Yarrowia lipolytica: one gene and its partner. The protein of the gene in region 2 interacts with the protein of the main gene of each other region in a pairwise test. Links are inferred from orthologs where the notes say so. Each region holds a gene or a part of one and is shown on either strand. Other genes may lie near its edges.

What was found. The genes of interacting proteins can lie anywhere in the genome.
Region 1: the proteins of YALI1_D17151g (region 2) and YALI1_E08271g interact in a two-hybrid assay, tested with the Saccharomyces cerevisiae proteins (2 studies listed by BioGRID, with this or other methods). The link is inferred for Yarrowia lipolytica from reciprocal best matches to the Saccharomyces cerevisiae genes SCD6 and KOG1.

What each region holds. Positions count from the first base shown.
Region 1 is NC_090774.1:825,525-830,194, reverse strand, and holds the start of YALI1_E08271g (uncharacterized protein), read right to left. Parts: upstream 3,031-4,670; coding exon 1-3,030. UniProt on the Saccharomyces cerevisiae protein: Component of TORC1, which regulates multiple cellular processes to control cell growth in response to environmental signals. Nutrient limitation and environmental stress signals cause inactivation of TORC1.
Region 2 is NC_090773.1:1,713,235-1,717,312, forward strand, and holds YALI1_D17151g (uncharacterized protein), read right to left. Parts: upstream 2,387-4,078; coding exon 2,159-2,386; intron 1,889-2,158; coding exon 1,238-1,888; downstream 1-1,237.

The DNA of each region.
Region 1 (4,670 bases), on a different chromosome or scaffold from region 2:
ACCGTCTCGGTCGTCAGCTACTGCCAGATGTGGCTCAAACTGCGCAAAAACGAGTTTCTGAGGCTGCGTCTTGTTGCTGAGAACACCTAGAGAGTGATCCCACTTGCCCTTGACAGCTTCGTCTCGCTGAAGCACCGACTCGGAGATAATTCTCTCGTTGCGGGTCTTTCGCCACAGTCTCTCAGTGTACCGCTGTGAACCAGTACAGTCGGCCTCCGCAGGCACCATTTGAGGCTCTTGGAAGAACTCCGTGGACCAAGCAAAAAACCCGGACTTCAGAGGGAGTTGAGCACGTGATCCTGCAGCTCGCGATGTGTAACGAGGTGTCACGGGGATGGTTCCCGTGCCAAAAGGAACAGTTGTAACAGATGAGTCCGTTTTCTGGGCTGCTGTTCCACTGGGCTCATTGTCTCCAAATAGATACTTCGAGACAGACCTCTTGAGCGAGTTGAGAGGAGAAGAAGCTGCCCTGTCGGCAGCAATGGCATTTTGAATGGTGGAAGATGCAGTAGGCGTTAGAGGAGCCATCGCAGGAGATTGGGGAGCAGGACTACCAGCAGCATGATGATGTGACTCTGACGAAGGAATCAGGTTGGAAACGCTAGGCAGCTGTTTCTTGGACTCGGCTCCCTGCAGCATGGTTCGCTTGAGCTGCTCCATTCGAGGTCCCAGAGGCGACTGGCCCATCTCAAACAAGACGTGATCAACCACGTCACGTGCAAAGTCACGCACCTCGGTGAACGGGTCCTCTGCAAATGTCAGAACGGCCTCCCACACGGCAGCAAACACGGTACCGGTGGCAGGATTGGACGAGGTGTTGAGGTTCATCTGGGAGACAGCAGCAGCTTCTTGCTCGAGAGTAGCAAACGCAGCAACCAGAATCTGACCTTGGTACTGGACGACGAAACGCGAAAAGAATACGACTGCTTCTCTTCGAACAATACCACTGGCGTCGTCAGTCAGCTTGAGGACAGCGTTAGCAAGCTCGCATTCCACGTCCTTGAAATCCTGGGAAATGTGATCAGCGTCTCCATTGCCAAGGAATGCAGTCAAGGCAACAGTACACGCTGTTCGGACCTCAGGAACAGGATCCTCAAGCAGCACAATGAGGCTCTGGGGCACTCTCTCCTTCATTCCAAGCCACTTGCCCTCTAGGTAGTCGAACCACAGTTGGGAGATGCATAAACAGGACCACTGTCGAAGCAGTGGAGAGTCAGGCTCAGCTGCGTAAACCACGAGCACCCGGAGAAGATCAGCACCCATTGAGACCCGCTGACCCTGCTTGAAACCATGGCAGAATAGTGCGATGATGAAAGAACACATGGCTCTGTGGTCATGGACGTTCACGTTGTTAACGGCAAATCCTTCAAAGGGGAGAAGAATTTGGATGAAGTAGGCGTAGCCATTGTCCTTGAGCAGCTCGTGCTGAATGGATTGATGGTCCACGCTCATTATTCGAGCCCAGATGAAAACAAGCACGGGTTTTAGCTCCTTAGCGGGGGACTGCAACAGCTTTAACACGTAGGGGAAGATACCGATAGAGAGCGCCGAGTAGACAGCCCAGGGTCCAAGATCGAGGAACTTGGAGAGCAAGATCAGCGCTCGTAGTCGGTGGACCTGTGACAACAGCACTTGTAAAACAACAGGAAGCTGAACAGGTGGGTTATCACTTCGAGCATTGTATCGCAGCCACACCTCAAAGGCTGTCAGTTGTTCCTCAAAGAACTGCGAGTGGCGATACTCCTGTCCAGCAGCCAAAGCAGGCAACTGAGTCAGACACTGATCGACTGCTAGATCCCACGCATCCCACATAGGGTGAGAATGGGTGGGAGGAAGAGGAGGGTCCGAGACTGGGTGGCATGAGTTGACCCGCATAATTCTGTCTGCCAGCAGAAAGTTTCGGAACAACGCTGCGACCATCAGGTCCTGTCGAAACAGCTTTTTGAACAGGTCGCGAGGCAACAAAGTCCAGGCTATCGTATCGGTTATGGCAGTGAAAATCCAATTAAGTTCGCCAAGGGGGGTTCTTCGGTCGGTAATTCTTCCTGGGATTTGCAGATCCTTGATCTTCTTCCCGTAAGCCAAGGGAGACTTCATGACGAACCATCGCACAGCAATTTCAATTGGGGACGTCAGGCATGACGTGAACAGATCTGCCGGAAGGTCTGGGTGCATGGGCAGAGTCTCGTCGGCCCGGCAGGCTGCAAGCTGGATGCAATCGAGGTAGGCATTTCCGTTTCCTGAAGCTGCACTGGTCACACCATTGGGTGCTTGTGCATCAGCGTCCTCCTTGATACGCTGCTGAACAAAGCGCTTGAAGTTAGAGACAATGTTGCCGGCACTATGGCAATCCCACACGTAGATGCATGGCGAGCCCAGCCACGACTGCAGGTCGTACAAAGACACAGGAATGTATTGTGTGTAGCCTCTGTTGAAGACCCAGATTTCGCCCGAAGCTGTAGGTCGAGGCACTCCGTGGCCATTGTAATGAAACAGAATTCGCTCCTCCTTAGCACCTCGTCGCAGTCCTATGCAGAATCGTTTAATGTCCTCCACATTGGGGTCCAGCGACTGCTTATACCGGGTTCGCATTGACAGCACCTCGTACTGCATCTGTAGCTGTTTTCCAATCTGCTCCGTGGCCTTCTTGGAGTCTGAGATGGTCTGTGGGTCCACCCAGGCCTCCAGTCGCGAGCAGGGGTCGGTTTTGATCACATCTGGAGGATCCACTCCCAGGTTGAGACACACCACAATGGCTGCAGACACTGTTCTCTGTCGGTCTTTCATGCGCCATTCGGGCGGGCCGTCGGCAGAAGACCGTTTCGGATTGCCCGCAGTGTCGTGGCGTTTGTCGTCCAGGTAGATGTAAAAGATTTCGGCCAACATGGACATGTAGGCGTCACTGGCGTAGTCGTCGTCAAATCCATGGCGCACATAGGTTTTGGAAGCGGTGGACTTGACCGTCTCATCCTCTTCCATCCGGCGTTGTGGCGAATGCACCGATTGCACCGATGTCACACTTCCGTTCATGTCAGAGATGTGAGGTGCAAGTATGGGGTGACTGGTGTGATGTGCGGTGATGTAGTGGTGGAGGTGTGACTTTGAGTTTGAGAGGTGGTTTAGAGGAGACTTGAGGACTGGTGAGTTGAGACTGTTGTAGGTGATTTAGACAACAGTAAAGATCGTTTTTTGTGGTAGTGGGACATGGTGTATATTTTTAACCGCCTTTCCCGTCTAAAAATGTATGTGTACGCCTACTTGGGTACTCCCATCTATCGCTGTCACGAGACACTATATGAGTGCGCTGCATACCATTAGGAGTGAACACTTTAGATTGCGATATGGGGTAATGTTCTACTATTGGTGGAGTGAGTGAGATGTCGACAAACTGAGGCGTGAATAAAATGAACAAAAAAAACCGATTTGTGGATGGTTAGACTCACATGACCACCTTCGTCGTGGGACTGTCCTTTGCCTCGATACATGATGTCACTAGATGTACTGTGTATTGTACAAATACCGGTGCATTGGCCGCTTCTACACCGTCGATATCTCCAGTGCCGTATGGGACATGCATGATACGAGTGGGTCGATAGCGGACAACATTTAAGTAATATTTACTGAAGATATGTAAATCAGGGGAAGTCAGAACAGCCCAAATCGGGCTTGCTGAGCTGACCCTGGAGTATGATGTCATTTCGCTTTCTTGATCATTACCCAGACATCCTATCGTACCATGGCGGCTTCAGTCGCGGTCGAAGTGTATTCGGAGGTTCAACTTGAGGAGTACATACTTACGATAGTCGTACTTGACGAGAAATTGTAGCGCGTGCACGGTTTCATACTGTACATACCGTACGTCGTATAGTATGTACTGTACTGTACCTACAGGTGACTATCTCCACAGGCCGAAAATAGTCCAATGACTAATGACGTCCTTGGGTCAACATTGGTGATATCTTGATGTCGAAAAAATTATGATTCAGGTGACCATGGCCTTGGATCTTCGGATCTCATACATACTGTCACAAGGTCTTCATTCAACCAACTTCTATCCAGAACTGTCTGAGTACTCGTTATATCTCATCGCCATCTTCATATATATCTCTTGTCCTCCATTATCCCTCCATGTATAGTGCCCTTGTGTTACTCTAAGCCATGTCCAACCGACTCCTAACAAGACTTGATTCTTGGTTAATCATCCAACACCACCCAAAACCAAGCCTATGCCGACACCTGTGAATATCGTACGTACAGTACATGGCCGCACTTGACACCCCGAATCATTCCGAGTCATCCGCATGCAGAACTGTTCTCCAGTCCGCACTAAACTGCCCTTTACATCCTCGCTCCCAACGAGCTGGAGTAACTTTCCCTTTGGGTCCATGGAGTAACTTTTCCCGCTGACAGATATCGTACATGCACATACTATAGTTAAAGCGAACTGTTGGGAGAGACGCACGGTTCGGAGATACGCCATGGACAGATGGGTGCACCACACTGCCAGTATAGAGAGCCACATTATCGTCGTAGCTATAACGGAAGCGGTTTTTCGACATGCGCGCCCCACTTATATAACATTGTGCGACCCACACCACCGCGACTTGCTCCCAAACCAGTCCCCGTCCCACGTGACTGCACATCGCCATCACCACTGCACGGGACAGATA
Region 2 (4,078 bases):
AACAAACCAATATGCGGATATGGGATCGTGTGACTGTTTTGACAAGGCATACTGCCGAGCAGGTGGGGTCAGTCAAACGCCTTCAGGAATCGTCACGGACAGGCTGGTGAGAAAGAGGTACTGTCATTTCAACTTGAGGAGTTCAACTGTACCAGTCCTCTCGGTATGCTTCTGACTTTACATGTAGATTGTGCTCTGAAAGGGGACTTCTGTAGAGTACCAAGCCATAACATCGTTTCAAGCCATCGCATCGTATAATGCTGCTGAACTTTCGTTTGCCATCACTACTGGTGGAGATCTGGAAATCATTATTGGACTTTGTGAACAGGAAGAACAGCTCTGCTGTCCGTAATTGCCGGATTCTTTGCTTTCTGTTCGTGACCCACTGGTTTCTGGACGGTCAAAACTTGAAGAGGCTATCAGTCCAGAGCATGAGAAGTCTTCAAGAAATTCTACAACAGTACATCCGTATTTCCAATGTATCAATCTGGTGACTTGAAAAAATACATCAAATTGACCCACTTAGATCTACTAACACGTTTTCAAGAGACATTAGTTCCACAAATCAACTCCAGATGCCATTCAGACCTCTTCAGAAAAGTCCACCTACCTCCCTGTCAAGTGCGCACGAAAGATGATCTCGAGCAGTTGAGACTCTGTAGAGAGCTGATCCAGATTCCCCAGTTCTCAAATAACACAGATACCATCTCGTCGAGCTCACTACATGATTTTTTGTCCGTCTTCGTTCCTATGTCCTGGTTGGCGATATGCACCACCTTGTAAAACATCTAGGCTACATCTACACCCTTAGAAACCTGTGTGGCCATGCTATGAGAACCCCGAAATATACAATATATTCGTAATCGTATCGATAATCGATTTGTCAACTCCCCTTTGCCGTCAGCTGTCTCTTTCTCCCATGGTATTGAGTATGTATTTTTGATTCTAGGAGCTACAATACCCACAGCATAACAGAACTTGTATACCGAATTGGGGTATGTACTGATATCTTGCTGACCACACGATATCGTATTCTTGTCCATTCATATCATGAGTTCATTATGCTCAGACATCGCAGGGTTCACTGCTCGGTCTGAGATGAATAAATTACTATAAATATACAGGGGACGGGAACTAGATACGAGTGCATGCACTACTAAGTGATGCAAGTACTTGTAACACACTCACATCGACCAACAGACGACCGACTCGCTACGCTGATACGCACGTCTATGGTCTAGTTCCACCGCGGAGCAGGACCGGTAAAACTACCAAAAGTCTCCCTGTCCCGGTTGCTCATGCCATCACCTCCTCGGCCGCCTCGGCCACCTCTACCTCCTCGACCTCGTCCTCCTCGACCACCGCCTCGTCCACCTCGCCCCCCTCGGAAGTTGTTGTGTCGAAACCCCGAATCAGTCTGGCCAAACGTCTCCAAGTTGAGCTCTCGGTTGACCCGGTTCTGCTCGGGGTCTCGCTGCTGCTCTCGGGTCGAGTGCGAAATGTTGTCGAAGAAGGACGACTTTTTGTTGTAGAACTTTTCTGTCTGCTCGTCCTCGGTCATTTCCTTCTTGAACTCCTCAATCTGGTTGGAGGAGAAGTCAAAGGGTTGCGCCGGAGTTTCTCGAGGCTCCCGGGGCTCCCGGGGTTCTCGAGGCTCTCGCTGTCGCTGCTCCCGGGACTCTCGCGCCTCTCGGGGCTCCTGGCGAGGCTCAGGTCGTGCCTTTCGAGGGGCCTGCTCCTGTACCTGAGGCTGTGCCTGAGGCTGGGATTGCTGCTGCGGCTGAGCGGGAGGCTGGACCTGCACTGGTGCAGCTGCAGGCGACTCGTTCTGTGTCACCTGCTCGGCCTCCTCCTTGGGGGCCTGCTGGGGCTCGAGTTCGGATTCGTCCTGGGTTAGAAGGGTTCAACAAGACCGAACGTATCGGCAGACACAAAATCAGAAGGAAGGCAGGAAATATCCGCACGGTTTTTTGCGCTCTCGGGTGAAATAATTTACATCCTAATGCTTCATCATTGTGGTTGAAAGGGTGAGTGGCGTGTCGACGGTACAGCACACGTGACATGTGAGGGTCCACCATTGGTGTGGTGTCACTCGTCATGGCGCTGTCACTGTAGATATCAGCACATGATCATCTCCGCTCGCTCTCGGTGTACTCACAGCAATCTTCAAATCCTTCACGTCGCTGCCGCGAAAAACCACATAGTCGTAGACCGCGTCGCTGGCAGGAATCTCGTTGGCCCCTCCAGTTCGCCCCTCGGTACCAAAGGTGCGCACCTTCATCAGCGACACGGTCGACTCCTCGGAGTTGATCTCATGGAGAACGCCGAGGTACCGGATGTCGCTGTTGGAGATGAGCGAGATGGTCTTGCCAATGAACTGTGACATGTTTGCGGGGCTTAAATTGTGTTGGCGGATGGGTTTTGAGTCGTCTGTGTTTTGACAAGTGTAAGTTTGAGACTGTTACCCGGTGGGCAAAGTGGTGGAGTGTGGAATCTGGTGTTTGGGGGACTCTGGGCAGCGATTGTGGGACTCGGATGGCGACAGCGGAGCGCGACAATGTTTATATAGACGAGTTTTTCGTCGAGCTGGCCCGGATCAGATCGAGTCCGACGACAGGGTAATTGAGTTGCCCTAGGTGGAGGCCTGTTAGACAGGATGCGCGATAGTGGAGGTCCAGGTGTGTGATTCTGGCAGGGAGCTTGACTCTGTGGGTGGCTTCTGGAATTTGTGAGCTGATTGAGTCAAAGAGCAATCCTCATGTTATTTGAACCTCTGTTACCGCTGTACCATACTGCTCAGGCTGTGAGAGTATGCAGGGATCTACAGATTACGAGTGGAGACGAGGCATGGCCAGAGAACATGTTTTTAAGGCGTCCAATGTCCAAGTTGTGGTCTGGAGGTGTTCCAGACGGTCATTTTTCGGCTTTCGCACGCTTCTTTTGTGGATTCTACGACCTGTACCGTCACATACTACGCTATCTCCTATGCACTACTACTATATACATCCAAAGTTGAATGTACATGTCTTCTTTGGCACTTTGAAGAAAATCCATAGAGAGGTGTCTCGGTGCACATGAGACGGAATCCACGTGACCGTGCATCATCACGTGACTCCAGATATCCAGAAAACCCACGAAAATGCACTCTCTAGTTGTAACGCTGCAGTCCTACAGAGTTTACTGCTGACTAATACCAACCGCCATTCATCGCTTACTAATCCAATGCCGTTGGAGTGCAACTAATGGGGCGCAAAATGGAGCTAGAGCTACTGAGAAAGCAGAAGATGGCAGAGGACGATACAGCGATCTCGGGGTCGGTTTCAAAATCCAAATATCTCGACTACATCGCGACATAGAAGGGATCTTGAGTCGTCTCTTAAGCTTGAACGTTTTGACAAAATTTTGTCAATGATGTGACCAGTTTCGAACCCATTAATTGTCCCAATCTGCACCCTTAAATGGGATACAGTTTTGGTGGTGATTGGGGGGGAGGGGACAGTTGCAGCACCCAGTAGACACTTTGTGATGAGAGTAGAGAAATATATATACTAGTAACCAGAGCAGAAGCCGATTTCTTTTTTCAGAATCTCAATATCTGGACTATCGGGGGAGTTGAAGGGAGGATACATTGTCTACGTATCCTCACGGGTGTTTCAGAAGCCATCTCAAAGCTGAACTTTAAAAATATCAAGTCTCGAGGGAGGGGAGTCTTCTGACTCGCGAGGATGTGTTCCTTGAACTGTTAACAAAAGGAGAAACACGTTAAGCATTCAAGACTACCAAGAAGAACCCAACAATGCCATCATAGTGCCAATGGAGTCGTTTGAGGACGTTGCTGTGTCAGGAGATTGTCCCTCTCTATCTTAGAGAAGATGTCGCGGAGAGAGAGCCACCAAAAACGCGCGCGGAGCGATCGGTCGGTGTCCTTCACCCTCGGATGCCCAGAATGCATGTAAACGTACATTCCAAAAGTGTTTAGACTCGTTCGACAGTCAATTGAAGTTTCCTGGTACATTCATGGCACATTTATCTGACCAACCACAAGCCAGAATGGGAGGGCTTCTCACTGGGCTGTTCC